4 separate regions of the Mus musculus genome follow, and all the other regions are reported to be linked to region 1. Evidence: microRNA targets listed by miRTarBase, many of them from high-throughput screens and not tested one by one. Region 1 holds a microRNA gene; each other region holds the end of a gene's coding sequence.

Evidence for each region. The annotated mature microRNA mmu-miR-378a-3p reads ACUGGACUUGGAGUCAGAAGG and lies in region 1 at 3,086-3,106, opposite strand. An mRNA with a match to its seed (bases 2 to 7 or 8) in the 3' UTR can be bound and repressed. Matches are read on the target gene's strand: a 7mer-m8 pairs with bases 2 to 8, a 7mer-A1 pairs with bases 2 to 7 and ends in A, and an 8mer does both.
Region 2: miRTarBase lists Ercc6 as a target of mmu-miR-378a-3p. Seed matches in the 3' UTR shown: 7mer-m8 at 1,961-1,967.
Region 3: miRTarBase lists Dkc1 as a target of mmu-miR-378a-3p. Seed matches in the 3' UTR shown: 7mer-m8 at 5,514-5,520.
Region 4: miRTarBase lists Tnfrsf1b as a target of mmu-miR-378a-3p. Seed matches in the 3' UTR shown: 8mer at 4,629-4,636.

The regions. Positions count from the first base shown.
Region 1 is chr18:61,394,753-61,401,871 of GRCm38, forward strand. Mir378a (microRNA 378a) reads right to left here and starts at 3,148; the gene lies at 3,083-3,148. Ppargc1b (peroxisome proliferative activated receptor, gamma, coactivator 1 beta) reads right to left here and starts at 5,660. Exons shown (of 12, transcript NM_133249.3): 1 at 5,538-5,660. The coding sequence starts at 5,615. It overlaps Gm52354 (a long non-coding RNA gene), which reads left to right and starts at 4,407. Exons shown (of 2, transcript XR_003952648.1): 1 at 4,407-4,440; 2 at 4,736-6,705.
Region 2 is chr14:32,576,126-32,583,244 of GRCm38, forward strand. It overlaps Ercc6 (excision repair cross-complementing rodent repair deficiency, complementation group 6), which reads left to right. Exons shown (of 21, transcript NM_001081221.2): 21 at 561-4,865. The coding sequence ends at 977. Among named protein-coding and RNA genes, the nearest start is that of Prrxl1, 20 kb to the right of the region's middle.
Region 3 is chrX:75,107,892-75,115,010 of GRCm38, reverse strand. Dkc1 (dyskeratosis congenita 1, dyskerin) reads right to left here. Exons shown (of 15, transcript NM_001030307.2): 14 at 6,707-6,832; 15 at 5,235-6,315. The coding sequence ends at 6,250. It overlaps Mpp1 (membrane protein, palmitoylated), which reads left to right. Exons shown (of 12, transcript NM_008621.3): 8 at 697-777; 9 at 1,345-1,425; 10 at 2,610-2,812; 11 at 3,010-3,084; 12 at 4,168-5,278. The coding sequence ends at 4,344. Among named protein-coding and RNA genes, the nearest start is that of Gm25520, 10 kb to the right of the region's middle.
Region 4 is chr4:145,209,431-145,216,549 of GRCm38, forward strand. Tnfrsf1b (tumor necrosis factor receptor superfamily, member 1b) reads right to left here. Exons shown (of 10, transcript NM_011610.3): 10 at 2,938-6,670. The coding sequence ends at 6,357. Among named protein-coding and RNA genes, the nearest start is that of Vps13d, 18 kb to the left of the region's middle.

The DNA of each region.
Region 1 (7,119 bases):
ATGAAACCTTTAGGACTGTAAAACAATACCTAGGTCATACGGATCTTTGTGAGGAAGAACTGTAATGGTGCCAACTGATGGCTCGGCAAAGACCATGTGACCAGGAGGGCACTCTATAAATGCTGCTGCTTAGGAAGGGAAGACAGCTGTTAGCACTGCAATGCTCTTGTCATGACCTCACTTCCAAGCCTGAGGCCCCATCTGCGGGGCGGCTTCTGGCTCAAGCCAGTGCTCCATCTAAATGAGAGGGAAGGAAAAGGGTGACTCATAGCCTAGTGTAGTGTAGTTCCTGGCTGACCGGCACCAGTTGGAGAGAGGAGGCCCCAAGGCCAGGGGGAAACACGAGCCCCAGGTGCCCAACTGCTAGGCTGGATTTCTTAGCCATGCTTACCCACCAGCATCAGCCAGAGGGTCCAAAGAAAGTGGGGCTCGGGCCTCTGGGGAGCATGCCCCCAGATGTACTCAGATGAAGAAGTTACCCTGCTCCCAGTCCATGCAGGCCAAAGGTGGGCAAATGCATCTGCCTCCACACAGCTGCAACTCTGACTTGGACAGCAGCTGGCCCTGGCTTCAGTGGCAGTGGAGGTTGAATTATACCAGACCCATCAAGGAGCACTGGGACTTCAAGTCGTTTCTCCAGTCCTCCCTGTGCCCAGGACCCCTCAGTGTGCTCAGGTCCCTCTTAACAAAGATCCATCTGCCAAGTAGAACCCAAAGATCCATCTGCCAAGTAGGACCATGGTACTGTACGGAACCAGCAGGGAGTGATTGTCCATGGGAAGGGATTGAGCATGGGGTGCAGAGGGTGTTGGCATGGTTACAACTCAGACCCATAGGAAAATGGCAAAGCACCCTGCACCGCTCCACCCCCATCAGTGGGGGGCTCTGAAGCATGGCAAAGCCTTCCTGGGGGTCCAAGTGTGAATGTTGACAATGAGGCCAGAAAACGTCCACCCTTAGTCGTCTTCCCTTAGATACTACAGTCTGAAGACTGTTCCCCAAGGAAGATGGCTCCTACCAAAGGTAGCTAAACCTGGCCCCTTGATACAGAAACAGACCATAAATCCCACCTCCTTAATTCGGCTGTATGCAATAAATGCCACCTCACTATACCACAGTATATAATACACTCTGAGCATCTGAGAGTTTCTCCATCAGAGAGCCCCATCCAGCGGATCCCAGTCATTTCTGTGTCTCCATGTGTCCCTCTTCATTCCCTCACTGCCCTAGTCAGGTTAAGTCCCTGGAGCCATGCAAGGGGGCAGCCACTGAACATCAAAGAAACGCACATGAACGGCAAGAGTAACAAAGTATATTGTTGACCAAATTCGTAGAATACAAATGGCATGAATAACTGGGGTATGGCCAGCCAGGCGTTTCCACACAATGCTGATGAGTGTGTAAATGAATGCAATCTCTCTAGAAGACGATTTCCTTATGTGTTTACCAAATGCCTGCGTGGTTCCTTTGACAGAGCAATTTCCCTTCTAGGAATATAAATGAAGGAAAGAACACATGTACACAAATATATTTGTTTCGGCGTTGCTCACAGTAGGATAAACGCAAGCAACCAAGCGACAGCAGAGGATTGATTGACACATGTTGGCTCAACGTCCCATGAAATACTATACAGCCATTAAGATATTAGGCACAATATTTATTGATGAGGAAAGATGTTCACAGCATATTGTGAGGAGGAGAAAAAAAAAAAGCAAGTTACAAAACAGTGTGCTTGCAAGATACAAATTAGTATAACAGAATAACTTCATTTATCATTTTCTTCTCCCCCCACCCCCCAAAATAACTGGTCTATATGAATAGGAAAGAAAAAAAACATCTAGAGATACATAGACTTTAAAGCAGCTATCTTTGGATAATATTACATATTTCTGGACTGGTGAGAGGCCTCAGCAGGCAAAGGCTGACCACCTGAGTTCAATCTCCATGTCCCATTTTGTGGAAGAGAACAAAGTTCTGCACCTCATGGCGTCGTCCTCTGACCTCCACACACATGCCAGAGCACACACATGCAAACACACATACAAAATTAGCTAATTTAGACAAATGTAAAATATAAAACATGACTCCCTTTTCATGACACTTAGCAGTGTTTTCTAACACTGTTAAAATTATTTTTAAATAAGGGTTGGACTTGCTGATTTATAATGTCCTTGTCGTCTCTGACACTGTCACAGTTCTTCCAGGCTCTCAAGTGACTTCAAATAATTCCTTTATTTGCTGGGCTTCCTGCATGGCCTTTGGAGTCAAGGCTTTTGCTAGCAGCTGTAGCCCTCGACAATGCCCCCTCTCCCATGTTCACTACCCAGCTGTCTTCTCTGTCAGCCCATGAGCTTGTCTGGCAAGGCTCAGCTGTACCCCTATTTGTAGTCCATGTACCTCATCAAGAGCCAGGCAAAGGGGCATTGCTCAGCATGGTGACAGGTGCCATGTGGGCACACAAAGATAAAAGACTCAACTTGGATCCTACTGGATAGACTCAAACACATAAAGTGCTTGGCTTTATAACGAACTATGAAAGGCAGAAGAGAGAGCAGGGCAAGCTGGCAGGAAGGCCTACTAAGGGAGAAAGCCATGCGGGATGGTAGGCAAAGGCCCACTAAGCAAGGGGTACAGCTGGAACAAAAGCGAAGTCAGCACAGAGTCTTTGGAACCCAATCTTCAAACATTTCCAAAACGCTTCCACAAGCCTGGTTCTGATAAATGGCTACTTTGGCCCCAACGAATAAACGTTAAGTCTCTCAAACAGATCTCTATAATCTAAGCCTGGGTTAGCCACCAAAGACAAGAAGAACTCTTTGGGGGAACAGAGACAATCCACTTTCCCCAACCCTCCCGAGGGGGAGAGCTGGGGGGAGGGGAGGGTCTGGGAAGGGCTGTGGGGAAGAAGCTGGACAGCCAGACAGCTCACATGCAAACACAGGCTCACCCCCACCAGCAGGCCTCTGGCTTCTCCGTCAGCACCACACCGGCCCCATTGGACAGATGGAGAAACACGGCTGGAGAGTTAAAATGGCTTGCTCCAGGATCACCCAGCCAGAGAGCGGGGAAGGTGACTCCACTCAGGCCTTCTGACTCCAAGTCCAGTGCTATTTCGAGGTAACACACAGGACCTGGAGTCAGGAGCCCTGGGTGGCTCTGTCACCCCCTGGCTGAGTGGTCGTGGACAAGCAGTTCACCCCTCGCAGCCTCTTCCCCAACTGTAAAATGAGGCGGCGGGCTGCCCCGCCCATTCCCGCTCAGCTCTGAGCCTTCTAGGGGCGGCTGCAAAGCTCCTGGTATCAATTACATTTCCCAAGTTGGCCCGGCAAAGATCACCCGGAGATCTTCGGCCTATCACGTGATTAAGTTAAAAGGGGGTGGGGTGGGGGGGAACAAACGTCCCAAATTAACTTTCACTGCACTGCTTCTGCTGACAACTGATTACCCAATTTTCCAGATTCCTTTGGTGAAGCTAGGAAATTACCCTACTGAGTGGGATAGGCTGGTGGCTAAAAGGGCAAACAGTTAATTAATTATCGGTGAGCCAAACACCAAAAGCTAGAGTTAAAGTCGAGGGTCCTGTCCAGAGCAGACAATCTTGGTATGTGTGAAGGAGTCTCACTGGCTATTTTGGGCTACTCGGTTCTTAAGTGTAGAGATATGGACACGACTCCAGGCAATCGAGATCTGGGGTGCAGGTCTTCTCCCGGACCCCCATGCCCCTACCACCTCCAGCCCTGGTTCCACGCTGTCCACCCCCGGGGTGCTAAGGCCCGCCTTGGGCAGACATAAACACCGGGCGTGTGACCGTGCCCGGCGACGCTGCCCGGCGCTCCACTGCAGTTTCGTCAGAGGTAAAGGTACGCGCCCGGCGCGCGCGGCGTGTGCACAGGCTCAGGGGACACACACACACACACACACACACACACACACACCCGCGCACAGCCCGCTCATTAACACCGCCTCCCGACCTGAAGAAGCGCGATCACCCGCCACCATCCCCTTGGGCCTCTGCTATGAACCCACCCGAGAGCGCGCCAGCCACACACCACGCGGCCCCCGCGGCTCCGGGACGCCACGGCGTTTGCAGAGAGCTATGGCCCGCCGTCTCCCGCGCGTGGCGGGCTTCCTCTCGGCGACACCCCCGCAACGACGCCTGTCCTAGTCGCCAGCTTCAATTCGCCACCGGGAGGTTTCCCGGAGCAGAACGTCTCTCGGCCGCTGCGTCCCCCCTCCAAGTCGCGTCTCACCGCAAGGAGTCAGCTTGCAAGCCTCTCCCCGCCCACCCGGTCCCATGACAGCTGCTACCGCCCAAAGACTGGTAGATTCTAACCAGAAGCAAAGTTTCCCTCTCTCCTCCCACCTCCCGCCCCCCCCCTCCGCCTTCCCCTCCCTCCCAGTGTTATGCAAAACGGGCCGGCACAAACGCTTCCACACCAGGTACTCAGCTTGTCCCCGCGAGTCCCACGGGTTTCCGCCTTGCAGCCCCTCTCCGGACCCAGGCGTGTCCCCGCATCCGGGGTCTCCTCCCAGGCTCCGTCGCACCCCCAGCCTCTGGGGAGACACACAGACAGGAGCTGGGAGCAAAAGCCCTAACTCGGGAGCCAAACTTTAGGCTTGCAACAGGCACGGGCTAGAGGGGGAAACGGAGGAAGAGGTGAGGGCCCCCACGCTGCGTGCACACATGTTCCCGCAACTGCTTGTCCTAGCAGCAAACCCCATTTTATTCTCCAAGCCCACAGCTTCCTCGTCCTCGCTCCCGAACACCAGAGCACACACTCCTGTCATGCGCTTGTAGCCGGTGTGGCTCCCAGCCTTAGCCAGAGCCCGGGACGCCGCCTCACCTTCCCTTCCCCCTGCATCGTGGAGCGCGCGCCGGGAACGCGCGCCGCAGGGGGACCCAGGCACCCCCTAGATAGTCCTTCCGCCCGGATCCTGCCTTCCTCGCTCCTAACGGGTCTCCTCCGGTTAGTGAGAGCTGGAAGACGCAATCTCCGCCCGCATGTCCACGTGCCCTGCCGACCCCTATTCCCCTAGCCAGCAACTGACAGGAAACTCTGCGCTGCCGGAGCAGGTGGGGGGCTATGGGGTACCCGATGCTGGAGAACCAGGGGACTCCAGGGCTACCGATCGCCTCCCTTAGCCCCGCCACAAGTGCACGTGAAAGTACGGCAGCAAGTGCCAGGCGCCGAGGACGCGCCTACAACACCCAGAGCCAGCCTTTAGGGATCCCCCGACCCTGGCTGGATTCTACCTGCGGGAGGAATTGTAGTACCCCTCAACTTTGCCAGTGGGGGACAGTAGACTCTAGGTGGCCCTGGCTGTGTCCCCCAATGCTACAGCATGCGCCGGCGACCTGCAGCTCGCTACGCCTGTAACGGAGCGCAGCACAAGGCACGTGGAAGGGGGGGCTCTGCAGCCTGAACCCCCCGATCACCCCGGTGCGCCCACCGCTGCGCTCGTTCCCTCTGCAGCTGCGGCTGCAGCCCCGCGGTTCTGCACCCACGTCCCCGGCCTGCGTTCCCTGCTGGCAGTACCTGCGTGTCAGAGAGATAGTTGAGGAAGAAGGACGAGAGCTCTTCATCCAGCAGCGCGCCGCAGTCGTTCCCCGCCATCTTCCAGCCGCGGCTGCAGCGTGCGGCGGAGTCAGCGCCGAGCCCGCCCGGGGGAGGGAGCGAGCGAGCGAGCAAGCGAGCGAGGAGGAGGGAGGAGGCTGCCCGGCGGGCGGGTGGAGGGCGGAGCTCGGGCCCCCGGCTGCGGCAGGCGGGCTGGCTGCGGGGGCGGGGCCGCGCGAGCCTGGGGTCGCACCCCCGGCTTTTCCTGCTCCTAGTCTAGCGCAGGGACCAGGTCTCGCAGCCCCCCGCAGGGGAAAAAAAAAAAGCTCCGGCAGCCAGGTGGCGGTGCCCGGGCCAGCAGCCGGGTGCCTGCGCAGCAATGCGGGCACCCCCTCCTTACTGTTAGAGCGAATCACGTTGCGTTAGCGCTGGGCGGGCCCTTGCCAGACAACCTGCTTCTACACAGCTGGGGAAACTGAGGCTCCGGGAGGCTTAGAGCCGCTTTTAAAGCCGCAGTGCTCTGCAACAGCAAAAGAGAAAGCTGCGGAGACCTCAGTTCTCTCTCTCTCTCTCTCCCCAGACAGCAAGGCCAGAGAGGGAGGGAGACACGCACAGGTCAAAGGCGGAGAAATCAGAGAAGGCTCCTCAGAGGGGGTGACAGTCATATGTTTTCTTTGTAGCATTTTTATCCTCATTTCCTGTTAAGCCATCTCTCTCCCCCGGGCTTACTCAATAGCCACCGTTGAAAAAAAATTCAATCATGTCTTTTACTGTACCCCAGTGTTTAGAATTGGCTAAGCTTCTGTCAGCCTCTCGGGCCCATTGGCCTCCCTTTTCTTATTATGAACCTTCTGAAAAGGGGCTGCTACACCAATCAGCCATCCACCAAAAAAAATGGTATCTTTAGGGCATCCTTACCCACCAACCTTGTAAGTACCAACCCATGTGTTGCTCTCCTACCTCAAGCCTATGCGCTACCCTTTCCTTAGAAGTGTCTCAGCCTCCCTTGTACCTTGGCTTAGAGGAAGACTCCATCTGAGTCACTCTGTCCTTGCTAGAGTCTAAGACGCATGGAACCAGGCTTAAATCTTGCTTTGGCTATTTCTCCAGTTTACCAGAGGTAGTTAATAAACAGTGTGTTAACTGAAAAGGCTGGACGGTTTCGCCTCCCCGCCGCCACCACCATCACTCTACACAGATGAGGGAGCTGAAGGTCAGGAGTGCAGACCAGGAGAGTCCTGAACCGCGGCCAGGAAGCAAACCTTCTGACTTCAACCTTGAACTCTCATCTCTTCTCCGTTTGCCAGGCAGGCATCTAGGTGTGTGCACGGGGGCGGGGGATGTACTGGGGCTGGATAAAGACTGGAAGGCAGGAAGACGCAGACCTATTTAATGGGCACACCTGCCTCCCGCCCTGCTCCCACAAGGTACTGACAAGGGCTGCCCCACCCTGCCTGGGCGAGCAGGCTCCTTCCAGAGAGAAGAGGAAGCAGTCCCAGCACACCTGCTCAGACTTGAGCCACTAGGCAACAGCTTCCTTCTTCTCCAGTCTGAGGTTCCCAGA
Region 2 (7,119 bases), not on the chromosome of region 1:
CAGAGAGCCTTCTTGAGTGTTGGGCAAACAGCACTCTGTCTTTCTGACTAAGGATGTGTGAAAGCTCACGCGTGAAGACACCCAGGTTAAGGCTCCAGTTTTAGCTCCATGTGAACTCCTTTGAGAACAGACACTTTCCAGTCTGCCGAGTTCCTGCTTTCAGCAGCAGGAGTCTAAGGTGCTTTCCAGGTTAGGTCTGTTGGTTTAAGGAAGCACATGTGATACAGAGTGGGAAAGGAAGAAGGCTGAGACAGCTGCTCCTTATCCCGTGGCCCAGGCACTGCCTACAGGCACGGTCTCCCTCTGCTCCCTGCTCTCATACTCGGATCCAGGAGACGGCTTCGTTCTCTTCTCCCTGCTTATTTCTTTAGGAGGTGCCCATTATAAATGGGTAGATTCACATCCACATCTCTACCTTGGCCTCGGATGGCGACCATGCCCTCTCCCGCATCTCACCATACACATGGCAGTTCAGTTATCCTGAGGGTCCTCACAGCCTTTGGGGAAGTAGTGGACTAATCTGGAAGTCTGTCTGTTGACGTGTAGTCTTCTTTCTCTAGAACAACATGAAAAAGGAGGGAAAAGCTCACACCCCTGAGCACTTCAGTGGCAAAGAAGATGGAGCATCTGTGTCTGGAGCGCCCAGTTCCTCCTCCCTCTTGGCCAGAATGCGAGCAAGAAACCACATGATTTTGCCGGAGCGCTTAGAGAGTGACAGTGAACATCTTGCTGAGGCTGCTGCCGTGCCTCCCTGCGGCACCGAACACGACGACCTTCTGGTGGACATGAGGAACTTCATTGCTTTCCAGGCCCAGGTGGATGGCCAGGCCAGCACTCAGGAAATCCTGCAGGAGTTTGAGTCCAAGCTGTCCGTGGCACAGTCCTGTGTCTTCCGAGAACTGCTGAGAAATCTGTGCAATTTCCATAGAACTCCTGGTGGGGAAGGGATTTGGAAGCTGAAGCCAGAATACTGCTAACAGTGATGCTCTCTAAACTCTTTCAGATGGAAAGCTTGGCTCCCCGAGCCTGTGATTAGTGTTCGTGGGGTGTGTGTGTGTGTGTGTGTGTGTGTGTGCGCGCGCGCGCGCGCGCGTGTGCATGAGTGACTGTACTTGGTATTTACTATGTCATCTACCTCAAGACTAAAACTTGAAGAAGAAAATAATTGGAGGGTTTTTGTTTTGTTTGTTTGGTGGCACTGTGAATTAAGTTATAAAACCAGGGACCTAACAGTTGTTTAATGGAGCAAATACGTTACTTAACCCAAAAGATGTTGTCAGGGAGCACACAGTATTTAAGAATACATCTCGGTTCTTCTTACTGGTGCTGGGCATATGTCTTCTCTTTATCCACCCCATCTTATAAGTCACTTCACAGTATCCGATAATCTTGGTACCTTGATACAGCATGGGTTTTCTGACCCACTGGTTACATACAGAAAGACACTTGCTATCTGTCAAATCATTAATTACATATAAATAATTCTTCATAGCACTTTTAGATTAGCAGGCTTGGGTTTTGTTGTTTGTTTGTTTGTTTGTTTTAAATGTTGCTGAAGACAGACTCTGGTGCCTTGCACATGCTCAGTATGTGCTTTACCACCAAGTTCCTTCCCAGTTCATACATACGTGTCAAAGTAGGAAGTCTGGTTTTTCTTCTCTGTCATCATTATCTAAAGATGGCGGATGGGGTTTGTTTAAATAGGTCAGTCAGTTCTAAACTTTAGTACTTGGCTCAGAAGGAAGTCACAACACCCGTTCGTTTATTTATTTTTTGTTCCAGTGATCAGCCTACAGGAAATGCTATTGCCCTTGTCCTTAGGCTGACTACCAACCTGACTCACTAACATGAAACATTTGTGCTGTGCCTGTGATGTCTGAGATCTAAGTTATACTGAGCTAGAGAATGTCGTATAGACACTTTTTTTGTTTTTTTTTTTCGAGACAGGGTTTCTCTGTATAGTCCAGGCTGTCCTGGAACTCACTTTGTAGACCAGGCTGGCCTCAAACTCAGAAATCCGCCTGCCTCTGCCTCCCGAGTGCTGGGACTAAAGGCGTGCGCCACCACGCCCGGCTGTATAGACAGTCTTTAACTGTCGAAAGTTACCTACCACGCGGTCAGGAAGGGATCCGTGTTCCACCTCTGCCACTGACCTGCCCAGCCTGGGAAGGTTGAATCTGTAAACATGGTTATCCAGCCAAGCTGGGAGAAGCTTAGAGACCAGTTCTCCAGGTTAAAGTACTTTTTAACAATACACACCTTTATACATTGAGCTGCAATCTGATTTCTTTGAACTTTAAATACTTTGTGCGGTATAAATAGATTTAATGTATTAAACATATTAAATAATTACAAATAAAAGATTTAAAAATACTGGTTTTTCCTGTATTGTCACTGTTAGAAATCCTTCAAGCACTCCTGCCTCCCTATCCTGTGCATTCCAGAGCTCTGTGCAGTTGCCCAGGCATTGGCATGGCTCCTGGCATGGGTTACTCCTCCTCTGTGTTTCCCCTGGACTCATGACTGCCCAGCTGAAAATTGTTTCTCAGCCTCCCTGCAGGTGTGGCCCCATGACAGTTCCAGGCAGTGAGATGGAAGACTTCTAGCTTGAAGCTTACACAGAGGCATGGTGTGCATGCCCCTGAAAGTTCCCTGGCTTGCTGGTCAGGATGTCTGTGAGAGCCTCAGGCGTCTCCTGGCATTTCAGGAGAGGGTGGATGGTCTACTAGTCAAGAACAGCTATCTTTGACCAGATACTTTGGAGTGAAATAAATGAAGTGTTATTTAATACTGTTTTAACATCTAATTGGTGTAATGTATGTAACACACTAATGCTGTAAGTTTCCTGTGTATCTCACGTTCGCACTATGCAGGTCTTTTCACTTATGTACCTCTGCTTTCGCTGACCTGCTGATCTCCAAACCCATCACAGGCTCACTTTCCTCAGGCTTGCCCACAGCAACTAGTTTCCATCTTGGTACATTGTTTTAAAATTAGTCTTGTTTCATAAAATAACCTTACTTTAATTTGAATTTCCCTGATTTAACACCAGACAGAATACCATATTCACCTAGTTTCCTCAGTATAAATGAAAGACAGTTATGAAAGAGGCAAGAACAAAAAGCCATTCTGGGCTAGTCCATCATCCGCCACCACTCCAAATGCCAGCTTCGACTCATCGTAGTGCACTGCAAGGCTGACGTCAGACCCCGTGTCTGTCTGTTCCCTCACACTCTGCACGCTGACGTTTGTCACCTGTGGGAAAGTCCATTTTCCTTTTTATCTCGTCCTCTGTGTCTTATTTTTGTGCATTTCCTGTTCCAAGCAAATGATAGAATTAGCTTATTAGATTCCACTGAAGTGTTGCTCTTTTGGCCGGGATTGCATTAGTTTGCCCATTAATTGGAAGATAATAGACTTCTTTATAATTAATATAATTTTCCCATTAGTATTATGAGAGGCCTAATTTTATTGCTTGGGTAACATTCCTCATAAGGGTTCAGTTTTATATTAGCTTCGTTCTAGATGTTTTACAGAATTTTTGTTTAGGATTTTAAAGGATCTTTTACTTTCACATAAAAAAAAAAGTGGAGATGCTTGACTCATTCCTGTGTCACCTCTGTGTTGCTTATCACTGGAAGCGTTTACATTCAAAGCTGCTACATTCAGTTTTTTAATATCCTATGGTCATGATGCAATCTTGTGAATGGCCTTGTTAGTTACAATGTGGTTTGGATGGGAAGTGTCCCACCTGTAGACTCACGTCTTTGAACATGTGGTTCCTAGCTCATGATGCCCTTTTGGACCTCCTGATGGCTGCTATGACAGACTGTGTCACCTGTAATGTGAGCCAAAAATGAACCCTTCTTTCCTTAGGTTCTTTTGTCTGGGTATTTTGTCAGCAATAAGGTAAATGACTAAATGTAATTATACAGAAATAGATATTTTCCTAACATTTGAAAACTGTAGATCATTCTCTCCTTCCTGATTTATACATTTATAAAGCCACCAATCCACCATTATGTCCCATGTCCATATAATCATGGAAATGTGCCTGAACTCTATATTTTGTTAACTTTGTCCATTCATCTTTACCAATAAACCATTTTTAATCATGTAGGTTTCTAATTGACTGTCAAAAATTGTAGAGCAACTCTTGGATCTTTGTTATATCTTGGATATATTAGATCATCTTGTCACATTGGGATTTTGTGACTACAATGAATGAGCAGACTTGTTGAGGATTATTTATGATGCTGGGTCCCGTGCATCTCTGAATAAGCCATAGCTATGTATTTTTATTACATGTTTATAAAGAAATAATTGTGCTATATCTCGCATTTTGTAATAGACAACTTACGTATGCATAGATAGAAAATGTGTATCATGCAAGCAATTCTATCAAATCTTGGTGAGAACAGTGAGTCTGATGTACAACTTACGCTTAGTCCCAACCTTGATTTTGTACCTGTAGTAAAGGACACCTTCTGAAAACCCACGTGTTCTCATTTATACAGGCTCGTCTCCTGCTTCTCTCTACGTTGGCTTTGCTAACTGATGTTATATGTATCATCTAGCAACTTTGCTGAACTTGCACTCTGATCTGTAAATTGTCCTATAATACTTGGATCAGCTGTAATAGTAACGATTGTGTTTCACGTGTTCCAATATGCACACGCTCTGATACGGAGTAGAAATGATTACAGGTGGCATAGTACTTCGCCATCTCTCTTTCCTGCCATCGAGGAGAAGCTCTAACACCTACAGTTGCTGTTTCCTAATAGATGGCTTAGTTGGGTTAAGGGAATATTCTTTCCAGTTTTAAATCCACTGCTGGATTTCATTAAATGTTTCTCCTGCTTTTATCGACAGTTTTCCTCTTTAATACCCTTCCCTAGTTTGGTGAAGTACACAGTCAAATCTTTCAACATCAAAACTTCTCTTAAGCTTCTACCAGTTTGCAGGTGAGGCAGGGATGATGTACAGATTCATTAGCCAAAAGTCAACACTGACGGGAAACCGGAAGAGAAGTCCCTCCCAAACAAAGCCACGTGTCTTTGGAAACTGTCTTTAAAGCGTATAGAAATTGCGTACCGTGCAAGCAGTTCTGTCAAGTCTTGGTGAGAACAGCGAGTCTGGTGTGAAGCACGGTCCCTTTGTCTTTCCCCGTCCTCAGTGTTAGGACAGACCAGGAGGAGTTACCAGGGTCATGCGGCCCCGTCTGTACACAGAGCATATTCCACATGAAAACCAGTGCCCAAGAATCCATTACTAGGGAGAAGAAAGACTTGCCAGTGACCAAAGAATGAAGTGGGAGTTTTCCTCAGCTCCAGGGGTGGAAGGGTTACAGATCCACAGCAGAAATGGAGAGAGAAGGGCTATAAAGGAGAGCAATGAGAAACAGGTTGGGAGGCTCCAGGAACCTTGCTGCTGCTTTAATTTCCTAGTCTGATGTTTGTGGTCATGGGAGCTGGTGGGTGTCTTTAGCCTTAAAGTGGGAAAAGAGAGACAAGGCAAATTTAGGTCAAAGAAGCTCTGTTAGAGCTTTAGATAAAACAGTTCTCAGTGATTTACACCCAGAGCTGAAAAGAGGACAGATACAGTATGAAGACAAATACTGGGGTTCTTGTTTTGGTTCATCTGTCACTCACCTGCAAGCCCAGGAGTAAGGTGTTTTCAACAGCAAAGGCAGCCTTCAAGATCTGGATAGAAACTTAGGCAAACATCAGAGGAGATACCTACTGCAAAGTTAGTTGGAGACTAGCAATGTTGCAAACCAGTGTGAGACCTTGGCTCCCAAAGTTAGCAATGTTTGTCAGCTAAGTTGGTGAAACTATACAGTTTGTTTATTTTTCCCTTGATAATACAGTCCAGGTGGGTAGAACAAGCAAGCAGGCTTTCCCTTTAGCCCCTGTTGGGCTAAGTTCTCTCTGGGAGGTGTGGGCTCCTCACATTTCTCATCGTTTCTAGCTTCAGGTTGTAGGGAGAAAAGTTCAGAAATGAAAGAATATTTAAAGTTCCCATAAGAGCTGGGCAATGGTAGCACACACCTGGAGTCCCTCCCAGGACTTAGGCAGTAGAAGCAATGGAATCAGGAGTTCAAGCTCACCTGTTTCTTCCCCTCTGCTTTCTTCTCCTTTCTTCCTCTCCCCTGCCCACTCCCCTGAGTCTTGGAGGCTGTCACAGGCACATGACTCCACACCAGACTGTTTTCCACCTAGACATTTCAGTGCTGTCTAACAAGACAGTCTCCCAGACAGCCACAGATAGCAAACAAGCACATAGCCTCCCGAGGCAGCTCTCGCATGAGATGCGGGCCACGGCGAGCTTCCCCTGGCTATCTGGATGCCATCTACAGCTGCTCTGCTGTCTGCCCAGAGTCACAGCACCATGTTTGGTCACTCGTCTGCTGACATCTGTGGCTAAGACAGCACCCACCGCCCTGACCCTTTGTGCCCACCATGGATGAGGCTGTACTGGGCGTCCTTGCTATCAGGGTGAACTGACCTGGCATGGTGCCTTCAACGCAGTGTCCATCTGTCTCTGAAATGTTGATGCCCCCGTTGAGCCCTGTGTATAATGGGCGGACTCCTCAGGGCTCTTTCACCATCAGCCATTCTTGTCCCCTCTGAGCTTAGTGGGTGACACGTGGGGAAACGTTTTGAAAAATCCCTCATCAGACTTTAACCTTCATTGATACTTTCTCCTAAATCCATTATGGCCATGGTGCATGCCATAATGTACCACATAATGGGAGTCACAGGCTCCTTTGACTCTCTCATTCACCATGCCTTGGCATTTACTGGAAGGGATAGCCGGCTCTATTATTTATTTCCTGGCAACAGAATGGATTCATAACATCTTTATTTTTGGTAGATTATAATCCATTTGGTGTTGTTTTTTATTTTGAGGTTCAGAGAGACCCAATTGTGGCCAGGGCTGCTTTGAGCTGGCTCTTGTGGTCTTTGACATGCCCCCATGGTTTTGGCCACTTCCTTCCCTCCTGGCACTGGCTTCTTGTATACGTTCCTGCCTTTTCTAGAATCAGCCACCGGGCATTTCTCTAAAGAGTTGTCTCCTCCTCTTTCTTTTGCCCACTCCTCTCCTTGTTTTAAACTG
Region 3 (7,119 bases), not on the chromosome of region 1:
AAAAGCATATAAAATCAGAATCCTATGGACTAGCCTACAGAGCCATGTAAAAAGTTCAGATGGGGGATGCTGAGAAAACCAAATCATAGACCTAAAAGAACCACATGCATATGTAATACAGAGTGAGCCTGCTCTCACATCCTGTTCTTCAGTTTATCAGCACCTCCTCCAGCTGCTACAGCCATTTTGCTAGCATATTTAATGAGCAAAACATTATTCCTCAGTAAGTTTGGATTCCGCTTGGAATTGTTTTTCACGGCATAGTCATGGAATTGAGCTAGAGTTTGGTGTGTCCAGTCTCACTGCTTAAACTCTAGCCCCTGCAGTTTTTTTTTTTTTTCTCACCTAACGTTCTAGATAGTTCATTCAGAATTAAAATGGGGTCATGTCAGTCCTTTCCTCGGAATTTTTATGGGAAGTACTTTCTGCTTTACTTTCTTATATATCATTCTTCATCACATAGAAATATCTAAACATCCCTCCCAGCAACCCCCCTCTGATTTCATGTCCATGGTCTCTCTCCCTGCATTTTATTTACTTTTTTGTAGACAGGGCCTCAGACCTTGGATTATAGGCATGTACCACCACACCCAACCTTCCCTTCTTGCTGGATCAAGTGTGTCAACTCCTTAACCCCAGCCAGTGCTTTATCACCCCACCTCTGAAAATTAATGATTTGATTTTCTTTGTCTCTAGTTTTTGACCAGTTGGATGTTGTTTCCTATGAGGAAGTTGTTCGGCTCCCTGCATTCAAGAGGAAGACCTTGGTGTTGATCGGTATCTTTTTACTGCTCCTCACCAATTTGCTAATTCAAGAGCACAATTCTGTCTTTATTTCCAATCCCATGTTATATGTCTACCCTTCTTCAGGAAAGGCAGTAAGGAAGATATGTAGTGTGGTCTCTTAGATACCTCACATAGCAGTTATAAAGAACTTCTGGATCCTACAAGTAATCTATCTGGATCCACTTCATACTACACGGTTTTCTACTGTTTTTAGCACATAATTCTTTTATATTAAGTTTGCTCTTTGTCTACCTGTTTGGATGGCTTAGGGAATAAAAAGAAAACTCCCCAGTAGCTAATTCCTCTGAAGAAATAGCAATTATGTTCCATATCTTAACTCTTAGGCCTTAGAATGACTTCCCACTCAAATGGATACTACGGAATTGAAGCTATTTGGTGACCCCAAATCTTGACAATTGTAATGACTCAGTTGCAGCCTTGTTACAACACCGAACTGTTTGAGCACTGGGATATAGAAATCCACCTCCCATTCCTTGTCTTATCCCCAGCAGTGTTTCTGAGTGAAAGTGATGGAAGCCTTTCTTTATCCTCACACAGGAGCCAGTGGGGTGGGTCGTAGCCATATTAAGAATGGTCTGCTCAGTCACAATCCAGAGAAGTTTGCGTACCCTGCCCCATGTAAGTATTTCTCAGGAGCCTAAGGGTCAGGCAGAAATGTCCTGTTACAAAATTTAGAATCAGTGTTTTTCTGAAATGTCACATGTTTTTGTTCTTGTTATTTTATTTCATATATTTAATCATGAAAACTGAAAATTTGGGGGGTTGGGGAGATAACTCTGTCAGTAAAGTTCTCGGAAAGTATGACGTCCTGATTTCAGTCTTTGGAATCCACATTGAAGAGCAAAGGAAGGGAGGGAGGGAGGAAGGGAGGGAGGGAGGGAGGGAGAGAAAGAGGGAGTAGGAGGGAGAAGGAAAGGGAAAGGGAGAGGGGGAAGGAAGGAAAAATCACACATAAAACACAAAATATTTGGAAATGTAATATATACTTATAGGGCTGAGGAGATGGCTGCTAACCCTAACAATATGAATTTAACCCTCAGAACCACATGGTAGTAGAACTGACTCCCACTGGTTGACCCCTGACTTTCATATGCACATCATGGCACTGGCACACACCCACACACACACACACACACACACACACACACACACACACCCTTGCCAGGGTTTTCAATGTGCAAGTTGAGGGAAAGAAGTCATTTTAGAGACAAGTGTCTGGCGTGGAAGGTAAAGATGGTTCATCATAGGATAAAAAGAGGCTGGGAATATATAATTTATCTCTGCACTAGAGTGTTACTCTTAACATTTTAACTTTTTTAAAGAATTATTTATTACTCAGTATTATTATACAGTATTATTATGCAGTGTGTGTACTCATGCCACAGCATGTGTGTGTGTGCACTCATTTTATAGCATGTGTATGGAAGTCAGAATACAATTTATAGGAGTCAGTCCTTTCCTTCCACCACATGGTTTCAGGTTCTCAGGTTATGAGCCTTCTGTGGCAAATGCTGAAAAATTGCCAGCCCCAACATTTTAACTTTTTAACAAAATGTTTAAACAAAACCATTGTGTTCTTTCCATGTCATAAAAACAAAACAGTGCTGGAGAGATGGGTAGGTGGGGGTATTGTATCTGTACTACCTTCCAGTACCAATCCTTCAGTTCATGAGAAAAACATCTCTATTATATTATCTGCCCCAAAGATGGGTAGAGTTTCCATATAGACATTTTGAGTCAGTACACTAAAAGATAGCAAGGACCAAGAAGAGCTCATCAAGGATTTGAGTTCTTATACACAGATACAACACGGCCACCAAAGAAGAGTGAGGAAGATGGGAAGGAGTATCATTTCATCTCAACAGAGGAGATGACGAAGAACATCTCTGCCAATGAGTTCTTGGAGTTTGGCAGCTATCAGGGCAACATGTTTGGCACCAAATTTGAAACAGTGCACCAGATTCATAAGCAGGACAAGATTGCCATCCTTGACATTGAGCCCCAGGTATGTAGGCATAAAAGGGCAGGAACAATGGTTTCAGCCATGTAATGAGGGACGTGAGCTCCTGGAAATCTTGCTTCCTAAAGTTTTAGTGGGGTCAGCATGATACAAATTGGTATTGGGATTTAACACTTATTAGAAGGAATACATTCTGACAGACAACTGGGTTGTTTGTTTCTCCTTTTCTTCCCTTTTCCTAGACCCTAAAGACTGTTCGGACAGCTGAGCTTTCACCTTTCATTGTGTTCATCGCACCTACTGACCAGGGCACTCAGGTGGGAAAGGGGTCACATGGGTGGAGGTCCACACCTTTTAGGTCATTGTCAACTGTTTTTTCCAAGGCCAAGAAGACAAAGGGCATGCATATTTTATTCATTCCAGAGTTATTCAAGAGATTAGTTATTAAATAATTCAATTCTAGTCATAGTCCTGAATGAACAGTTCTAATGGCTGAGACGGACAGTTAAATAAATCCTATTTCTTATATGATATATACTGATGTGAAGCAAACAGAAGGAGCTGTGAAGGATGGAGGTGGTACTAGATCCATCACAGGGTGCAGTGTGGCTACAGTGGGAAAGGAGCCTGCTTGTAAAAGTGGCTGTTTCCTCTTTAACATCATTCATAACATTTTTAAAAGAATTGGTTAACATTTTAGAAGAATGGCATTTTCACTTTGTTTTACTATAAAAGATTGTTTCTTACTATTGAGAGTCAATCACTGCAATTGGGAGGTGAAAGGAAGAGGATCAGGAGCTCAAGGCCAGTCTGGAGTTCAAAGGCAGTCGAGTCAATAAGACTGCCACACACACTTATTAAAAGTTATTTGTATTGCTTGTATATCTGGCCATATCCTTAGCTCATGTTTCCATTGAGTTAGTGACTTCATCTAAGAATTCTATATTATGGTACTTCCCTGTAATGAAAGTTACAAATATCCCCACCACCACTATGACACATATTTCTCTATCCTTTTGCCTTTATGTAGTTAACTGACCATTGGAGCCAGAGGCTTGAGACTTGTCAATAAACTTTCTCCCTTATCCTTGGATTATAGCTGTAGTAGTTGCTAAAATGGCTTTTCCATAAACAAAGGGCTAAAACTAAGTGAATGCTAGTGAAGGCTGTGCTAGGTAATTAGGGTTAGTTTGGCATTCATTAGAATAGTTAAGTGGTTCTCAACCCCTTTGGCAAACATTATATTCTTAATTGGTTACCTAGCAGATACTAGGCCACAGGATGGATCACCACCATGCAAAAAAACAGATGGGGAACCAGTTAATGTAAACTTGTTTAAATCTTCCCTTTGCTGCTGTGATTAAAGACTGCTGCTTCATCTATGGCTTTCTTCTTTGCAGACTGAAGCCCTGCAGCAGCTGCAGAAGGACTCTGAGGCCATCCGTAGTCAGTATGCTCATTACTTTGACCTCTCTTTGGTGAATAATAGTGTTGATGAAACTCTTAAGAAATTGCAAGAAGCCTTTGACCAGGCTTGCAGTTCTCCACAGTGGGTGCCTGTCTCCTGGGTTTACTAAGCTTACAGAATTGGCAAACATGTTTCAGCCAGCATTTGGAATGCCACCTCCCCGCACCCCCTCCCTTGCTTAAGCCAAAAGGGTTGCTTCAACTTTTAGCTCTGCTGTTTTCTTACTCAGGCTCCTAAAGGGGTGAAGCTTTCCTACTATCTACATTTCAAAATGATCTCTGGAAAATTGCCATAAGAATAACCAAATGCAATGCTACATAGATAAACCAACTGTCCCCCTGAAGCCTGAGCTCCTTTGCTTTCAACTATAGAATGTCTTTTTACTCTGGAATAAATATCTTCTGAAAACTTTCTAAAATGCCAAAATCAAACAGCTGTGCAATAGAATGTCTGCTGTAGGGAAAATCTTCCAAAGCAATAAAAATGCTGCTGTGTTAAAGTACCCGTGACCCTGTAACTCCATTCCCAATCTTAACCTTCCAAGCAATGACATTAACATAAGATCTCTGGGAATTACCTGTCACTGCCTCTATAGGTCTGGTATTCACAATGCACAAAGGCGTCTTCTCTAGGACTTGTTAAGTCGTAAGAGAATGGTTTAAAACATGTTACAAAAGCAGGGGCTGTTTGGGCATTCTATACCTGCCTATGCTATTAACAATTTCCCCTAAAACTTGTGTTTATATTCTTGGTTTTGGGCACATATTTAAGCAAAGTTCCCTGCTCCCTCTGCAGTCAACACCAAAACTGGCAGTTTCCTACCTGGAGTACCTCCAACCTCTTCACAAGCCCAGTACAATATAAATGCATCTACCCCTTTCCTCTTAACCCTGGATTAGTAATGATCTCCCTTGAGAGCAGATAGGCCCCAGTGCCAATGTAAGAAAGACTCAGAATTAGGAAATTTAAAAGTAGCCAAAGGAAAAGCAAATTCAAAATAGGACATAAACCTCAGACTTTTAATAAAAATATTCTCTCACTTTTGTTGCCAGTCCAAGATTATCATAGTAAATCTAACAGGAATACTTTTTAAAAAAAAAAAAACTACAAATTACATTCTTCAGCAATGAACAATTCCATTCTGAACAATTCCATTCTTTTTTTTTTCTTTTTTTGTTTTTTTGTTTTTTTTTTTGTTTTTTTTGTTTTTTGGTTTTTTTGTTTTGTTTTTTGTTTTTTTGGTTTTTTTTTTTTCGAGACAGGGTTTCTCTGTATAGCCTGGACTGTCCTGGAACTCACTCTGTAGACCAGGCTGGCTTTGAACTCAGAAATCCACCTGCCTCTGCCTCCCAAGTGCTGGGATTAAAGGCATGCGCCACCACGCCCGGCAATTCCATTCTTTAAAAGAAAACAAATAGGAAGGTACAGGAATGCTTTGGCTTCCATAAGAAACACAAGTAGCCATATAGAGAAATCCTGTTGTACACAAAAATACAGAGTACTAGCCTAAATATCATAGATACCACCAGGCAAGGTTAATACCTGAATAGAGCAGTCCTCATAGAACACTGGAGATAAGAGTCCCCCAGTGAACATAGTTCAATTACATTTTTTCTCTCACAGAAGGTTCTATACCATTTTATGTAGCAGATTTAATTTTTACCAACTTTTTAAAAAGCAAAGTAGGAGAGGACTATCTATGGCATTGTTGAAAATGCTCATTAGTAAATAGCTGCAGATAGTTACTAGGCCATGCCATGTCTAAAGGTGTGGCTTCCTCAAGCAAGCAGAGGGGTTGGTGGCAAAGGCCTGATTTTATCTCTCATATCCTTAAAACAGGACAGGATGGGATGAGATGGCCACACCAGCTAACCACTGAGGTCACAAGTGGCAGCTAAAAGTATACCAGAACTTTCTACTCTGGGACCTCTGTTCTCCCTCAACAAAAAGTTTTTCCAATAAGGCTTTTCTTTTTCTTCCCAGCTGGACATAATGCTTCCAGAAGTGGCTTAAACTATTCAGACATCTCTTCTACCACTTTTACTTTCTTCTTCTTTTTCTTTTTGGTGGTGTCGTTGTCCTAAAGAAAGAGAAAGTAAAAGTAAGTTCAATGTACCCACTGACAAAACATTTATGACTACTGTTCCCAAAAGAAATCTGACAAATTGCACAGTCAAGTCTGTTCAAAAATCTAAGACATTTGGGGTTAAACAAATTTTGCCTGTGACCTTCTCGGTGAAGTCTTAGAGAGATCTACTTAATACACCTTCCCTACCCAGCAGCAACATAATTCAACCATGATCCACTGTTCTGAAAGGCTGGGTGCCCCTACTTCTGTGTCCAAGAAGGTAGACAAGGCAAATCTAGAACACAGGGCAGCACCAAAAAAGGCAATGGTAGGAACCCCACTCTCGCACAATTCCTGTCAAAGACTCAGCTGACACAAAGGCACACCCATGGTTCACACATACCCCATCTCCAGTTTCGCCCCCACTTTCTAGCACAGTTTTGGGCTTCTTATCCTTCTTCTTCTTCTTTTCCTTCAACTGGGGAACTGTTGGGGTCTCATCACTTTCACTCTCACTATCCCGCTTCCTCTGTGTAAAAAAAATTCACATGAAGTTAGAAATGTAGGAAGTTACCAAGAAAGATTCCACGTATATTCAATGGTTTTGTGTCTATAAACTTGAATAGTGTCTGATTTTCTAAAGATTTGAAGACAGTATCTCACTAAATAAAAAATATAGTAAGCCATGGGGCATGATGAATGTGCCAAAGCAGCGTTGCGTATAAAAGACCCTGAGAAATTGTCTCAGTGAGCCAACTCCAAGACTTAAGGTGCTCTTTGACAACTTGCAAGTTCCACCCATATAGCTCATTACTA
Region 4 (7,119 bases), not on the chromosome of region 1:
ATGAATGTTTGCCTGCATGTATGTGGACAGCACACACACAGTGCCCTTGGAGACCAGAAGAGGGTGGCATATCCCCTGGAACCTGAGTAACAGGTGGCTATGAGTCACCACACATGTTCACGGGGTGGAATATATTACCAATAAGAGGTGACTTTAGCTACTGGCAGTGGACATACCTCTGGCAGGAACATGAACCTTTTTGAGAAGGAGCCCAGCCCAGGATGCTTCCAGCACTTTTGCTTGTCTTGCTTTCTTTTCCGTTGCTCTGATAAAATATCCTGACAAAATAATGAAGGGGGGGGGGGAATGCTGCACAATAGCATCAGATTTTCAGGAACTGGAGTTACAGATGATTCTGAGCCACCATGTGGGTATCAAATTTCGAACCCCAGTGCTCTGGAAAAACAGCCGTGCTCCTAAGGGATGAAGTAACTCTCAAGTCCCGCCCCCTACCAAGTGCTTCTTTTAAATGGAGTCCCTCTACTAGAATAGGTAGCTTGCTGTGAGGTGTACTTTAAAAATGCTCTGGGCTAGATTCACAAGGCACACTGAGCAGGCTGTGGGGTCATGTTCCTCACTAGCTGTGCGGTTCACGAGCTTTGACTCCCTTGGGATGACTGAGCTAGCCTGTCTAGCTACTCTGTGATCCTGAGGATGAGACTGTGTCTCAAAAATCATATCAATGATTGAGTCATAATTTCTTTTCCCTTTCTCTCTCTCTTTCTCTCTTCCTCTCTTTCTCTCTCTCTTTCTCTCTTTCTTTCTTTCCTCCCCCCCCCCCAAGAATGTAGACAAGTGCTCTGCAATCAAGCTACACCCACACTCTTGGTTTTTCAATGCTCAGTGCCAGAGTTTCAACAAAGAATTCATGAAGTTCTGAGTATGGTGGCACATGCCTTTTATGGCAGCCCTTTGGAGGCTGAAGCATTCAGATCTCTGAGTTTGAGGCCAACCTTGTGTACTTAGTGAGTTTCAGGCCAACCCAGATTACATAGTGAGACCCTGTCTTTTTGTTTTGTTTTGTTGTTTTTTTTTTTTTTTTTTTTTTTTTTTTTTTTTTTTTTTTGAGACAGGGTTTCTCTGTATTGTCCTGGCTGTCCTGGAACTCACTTCGTAGACCAGGCTGGCCTTGAACTCAGAAATCCACCTGCCTCTGCCTCCCGAGTGCTGGGATTAAAGGCATGAGCCACCACGCCCGCCCTAAGTGAGAGCCTGTCTTAACCCCCAACCCCAACAAAAAAGTTCATGAGCTTTTTTTTTCTTTTTGCATAATATCTGCAAATCAAAGGAAATGAGAGGTTCTGCAGTTAACTTTCACAGTCAAACTTGACTGTTCAGAGCAGCCGTGAAAGGAAACTTCTAGGGTTTTTAACAGAGAAGGGAAGTCTCACCCTCTAAGGCAGTGGTTTTTGTTTTGTTTTGTTTTGTTTTTTGTTTTTTGGGTTTTGGGACAGGGTTTCTCTGTGTAGTCCTGGCTGTCCTGGAATTCACTCTGTAGACCAGGCTGGACTTGAACTCAGAAATTCGCCTGCCTCTGCCTCCCAAGTGCTGGGATTAAAGGCATGTGCCACCATGCCTGGCAAGGCAGTGATTCTTAACTTTTCTAATGCCACAGCCCTTTATGTGACACCCCTCCCCCAGCCCTAAAATTATTTTGTTGCTACTTTATAACTGTAATGTTGCTACCATTATGAATCATGATGTAAACATCTGATATGCAGGACAACTCATATTAGACTCCTAAGGGGGTCGAGACCCACAGGTTGAGAACTACTGCTCTAAGCCCTAGGGTCACAGACTAAACAAAATGGAAAAAAAAAAGTAAGCTGAGCAGGATTTGCCCCTCTGCTTCCTGACTCCGGATGTGTTGTGGCCAGCCACCTGCTGCCTGTCTTCCCCTCCATGATGGCCTGGACTCTCAAACTAGGGGCTGAAAAGCCAACACCAAAGCCAAAACCAAAACCTAAAATGCTTTCTTCCTTAGGTTGCTTTTGTTGTGTATTTCCTCATTGTAAAGAGGAAAGTAACTAAGGCAACACTTAAATATCTGTGAGTCCGGCTTTAATACAATGTTGCAATGTTCTAAAACAAAGCTTACACTAACTCTCAGATGATCTATAAAAGGTCTCCTCAAAAGAACAATGCTAGCCGGGCAGTGGTGGCACATGCCTTTAATCCCAGCACTTAGCGGGCAGAGGCAGGAGGATTTCTGAGTCTGAGGCCAGCCTGGTCTACGGAGTGAGCTCCAGGACAGCCACGGCTACACAGAGAAACCCTGTCTCAAAAAACCAAAACAAAACCAAAACAAAAAAAAAGACCAAACAGAACAACAACAACAAAACCAATGTTAGTGTTGTCTTTTTCTTCTTCTTCTTCTTCTTCTTTTCTCCTTCTCTCTTCCTCCTCCTCCTTTCAGAGGCAAGTTCTCAGGTACCCCGAGCTGTCTCTGAACTGGCCTGTAACCAAGGATGACTGACTTTCGATTGTTTTGCCTCTGCCTCCTAGTGCTGGAATTACAGGCTACCCAGTAAATGCAGTGGTGGGGATTGAACCCACTGCCTTGGGCATGCTAGACAAACACTTTACCAAAAGAGCTCCAGTTTGAGCCAAGGATACTACATATTTTTTTTAAATAAATTAATTATGTTTATTATGTATGTGTGTTGAGTGTATGAGTGAAGGTCAGTCAGCTCTGTCCTTCCATCATGTGGGACATGAGACCAAACAAAGGCTGCCAACCTCAACAGAAAGGCCCTTTATCCTCCAAGCCTGCTCTCTGGCCTCAAGAATGCTATATGTATTTGAAGTCAGGGACTCACTATGTAGTCTTGGCTGGCCTGGAACTCACTGTGAGACAAGTCTGGCCTCTAAACCACCGAGATCCAGCTGCCTCTGCTTTCTAAGTGCTGGGATTGAAGACGTTTACCACACCTGGCAGAGTGCTAAATTTTTTTAATTTTTTTAAAAAAAAGTTTATTATAGCTAGAGAGAGGGCTCAGCAGTTAAGGGCACTTGCTGCTCTTTCAGAAAACCCAACTTTGGTTCCCAATACCCATTTGGCACAATTGTCTGTAATCCCAGATTTAGGGAATTCAGCACCCTTCACACACACACACACACACACACACACACACACACACACACACACACACACACACGGAAAAAGAAATTAATCTTTTTTTAAAATGCTATTACCTATTTCTACTATCTTTTGGGGCAGTGGTTCTCAACCTTCCTAACGCTATGACCTTTTAATACTCTTTCTCATGTTTTGGTGACCCAACAATAAAATTATTTCACTGCACTGGGCATGTTGGCACACACATTTAATCCCAGCATTCAGAAGGCAGAGGCAGGCAGATCTTTAAGTTCAAGGCCAGCCTAGTCTGTACAAAGTGAGCTACACAGATAAACCCTGCCTCAAAAAAAAATTATTTTGTTGCTACCCCATAACTGTAATTTTGCTTCTGTTATAAGTTTAATGTAAATATCTGATATGGGATACCCAAGAGGTCATACCCACAGGTTGGGAACTGCTGCTTTGGAGTCTTGAACTCTATAAGTATTCTTTAGTAAATAGAGCATTGTCAAAGCAACGAGCAGAGCTCCTCAAGGCAACAGGATCATGCTGTCTGCTCAGGAACCATGTTAAGAAATCACAGGTGAAAAGTGAAGTTCGGGGTTGGGCAGCTGATTGCGTTTGCCTAGCATTCACGAGGCCCCTGGGTTCAAGCCCCAGCACCACACAAATCATAGGATGGACAGACTTGTCATCCCAATACTTGGGAAGTAGAGGCAAGAGGATACAAAAGTCAAGGTCATCCTTTGGCAAGGTGGTTGTCAGTCTTAGATGGAAAAATAAGATTCGAAAACATAATGTAACGCCAAGGGTCCTGACACGGTTGCACATGCCTATAACTCAGCACTCTCGAAACTGAGGCAGGAGAATATCCAAGTTCAAGGTGCCTGGAGGATGCAGCCAGACTGGGTATACAGCAAAACTCCATGTATGAACAAACAGATAAGCAAAAATAATGATTAAAAGATAAAATCAATTTATTTAAAAAAATTTATTACATTTATGGTATGTGAGTGTGTGTGCAAGAATGTGATGTGTGCACATATGCAGAAGCATGTATGGGGTGGTGGTCAGAGGACAACTTGCAGGAATCAGGTCTCTTCTACCTTATGGTCAGGGATCCAACTCAGGTCATCAGGTTTGTCCGCAAACTGCCTTACCCACTGAGCCATCTTGCCAGTTCAAAACTAACTTATTAAATAGGAAGGGGGAGCCCTTGGAGAGATGTCTTAGTGGATAAAATGCAGGTATACAAGTGTGAGGACCAGAATTCAGATCTCTAGTATTCATGTAAATGTCGGGCAGGTATGGCAGCCTGCCTGTAACCTGAGCACTCCATAGGCAGACAGAGATCCCTGAAGCAAGTTAGACTAGAAAATGTGCAAGCTCTGGGTACAGATGAGAGCCCTGCCTCAGTAACTGAGAGTGATCAAACACACCCAAAGCCAACCTCTGGCCTCCACACACTGGCACACACATACATGCAAACATGGACACACACACACACACACACACACACACACACACACACACACTGAAGGAGGGAGATTCTGGACTGCCCATCCTTTAGGAATGTGTTATAGGTCAGCACTCAAATTGTTCCCTGCTCCCCCTCCTCTGATTGCAGAGCCCTAAGCTGGTCTAAGCTAGTACAGCCATTGTTCACATCCACGGTGTGGGCTTCCGAGATGACAGAACCCGTCTCCTTCCCACAACACAATGAGGAGGCCAGACTCAGAGCAGGAGATAGGGGCAAGCCTGGAGTCTACTTGGCTGGGTGTTTCCTCAGCATCCACAGGCTACAAGTGGGAGACAGCCAGGTTCTCTGCAAGAGTGGCTGTAAAGGTGGGATGGGAGGTGGGGTGGGGTGGCTCAGCCAGGGCTCAGTGTACAAAACAACAACAAAAAGCATTTATAAGCAGGAATTCTGTCCAGCACACAGTGCAATTGCTCCTTAGCACACCCTTTAGGGATCCACACAAGCACAGGAGCTGAGGCCACACCCAGGAACAGTCCTTTCCAATTCATTCTTTTGTTGCCTAGGAGGCCCGAGGTCATCCCAGGACGGGCCACCAGGGGGCAGACGTGTTCCTTCCCCTCTACAGTCTGATGCTGCAGAGCCTTAACAAGTCGGCCCCAAGTGTCCAGTATCTTGATTCCAGAGTGCTGAGCTCTTTAAGTCTCCATGGCAACAACTAGGCTCCTCTGCCAAGTTCATATCCAGTGGAATCGGTGAGCATGGCATCCAAGCACCTGAGACTGAACTTGCTTCTTGAGGAGTCTCCTGAACCCTTTCCTTCCAGGCATGCTAGGGGAGCAGGTTGATTAGAAAACCGGCATGAATCCTTTGGCAAAAGAGCTGGCTTCAGCTGTTTCCGGGTGGGCCTTTCAACCGATGTCATCAGCTGTTCCAACTCACAGTGCCTAACCCGGACATGCACTTGGGGTCACAGCAAGTACAGTACCAAGCCGTTGGGGAGTTAGAGGGAGTGCTCCAGGCTGAGGTAGGAAGAGACAGGTGGCTGCAGGGGCCTGGGAACTCTACAGTCCCTGAGATTCCCTGAAGGAAGGCGTGGCCTTGGAAGGGCTCATTAGAAGGTCAGGAGGAGGAGCTCCAGCCCTCTGTGTGCCCACCAGAGTAAAAGTCAAAGGCAGAGGCTGCAAACCACACAGGGGGCTGGCTGTGCTGTCTGCTGTCTGCTGTCTACTTACGTTTTGCATGTGTTGCTGAGGATCAAACCCAGGGCATGCTAAAAGCACACTGGACCACTGAGTTACAGCCCTACCATCCTATAACAGAGCAACTCTGCCTGATGGGGCCTCTGATTCTTGCATCAAAAGAATTTCGGTGGGCTTGGAGAGGGTACTTCCTAAGAGTTTAGCACTAACCTGAAGGGCCTCTGTGCCCTACCAGGCCACCACTTGCTCCTACTTGCTGGAACCGCCCTGCAGTGTCAGCATTCAGGCTGAAGAGCTGTGCTATTCATGGAAGAGGATGTTAGCTCCTTAGAAGGAAAAAATACTGGGGCCTCTCAGAAGCAAGAATCAGGCAAGAGCCCAGGAGATCCAGAGGGGTCATGGAAGAGCAACAACTTCCTGGGACTGCCCCCATAAAACACCATGGCAGTTTTTGACCACTCTAGCTGTCTCAGCCCTCACTTGACCTGCAACTGGGGCTCTGGAAGCCACTAAGGGAAATGGATCCAGCAAAAGTCATGAAGTTCCATGGGTTCAGGGTCTCGGGGGTCCCTTTGCAGGGTGTTACCCCTGTCAGGGGTCAGGCCACTTTGACTGCAATCTGATCAAACCAGCCAGCTTGGCTGGGCTTCATGCCCATATCCGGCACACCAAGGGGCAAGGGCTTCTCATGGCTCTGCAGTGTCTCTGTAGTCTCACACGGGGACTGAGACGGACACTCCTCCTGAGAGAAGGGGACCTGCTCATCCTTTGGGGACGCTGAGGGCTTGGCATCTGGGTCTCCCACTGTGGCGCTGGCTTGGGAAGAGCACTGAGAACTGTGGTCAGAGCTGCTACAGACGTTCACGATGCAGGTGACGTTGACGTGGGTCCCGTGGCTTCCGTGGGAAGAATCTGTGAAGCACAGGATGGGAGGGTGAGTCTGGGGATCTTGGAGACAGGGTGTCTTTGCAGTTTGCCTCTTGTCCCAGGGGCAGGTTAGAGCAATAGGCCAAGGGCCAAGAGGCTAAAGACCCTAGCTCACCTCTACTACGATGGCAGATGCATCACCCTTACATGCCTGTGTGCTCACTTCCCAGCTGCCCAGCCCAACGCTCCCTGCTGTTGACCGGAGACAATTTTCTAAAGCAGACAAAAGTACTCCAAGAAGAACAAAACATTGGGCTGAGGATATGGCTCAGTTAGTAAGGACTTTGTCTTGCAAGCTTAAGGACCTAAATTCAACCCCTGAGACCCCATGTAAGGAGGCTGGGCATGGCGGCACACACTTGTAATCTCAGTACTTGGGAGGCAGAGAAAGGGAGATTTCTGGGTCTTTTCAGGCCAACCAACTAAGTCTAACT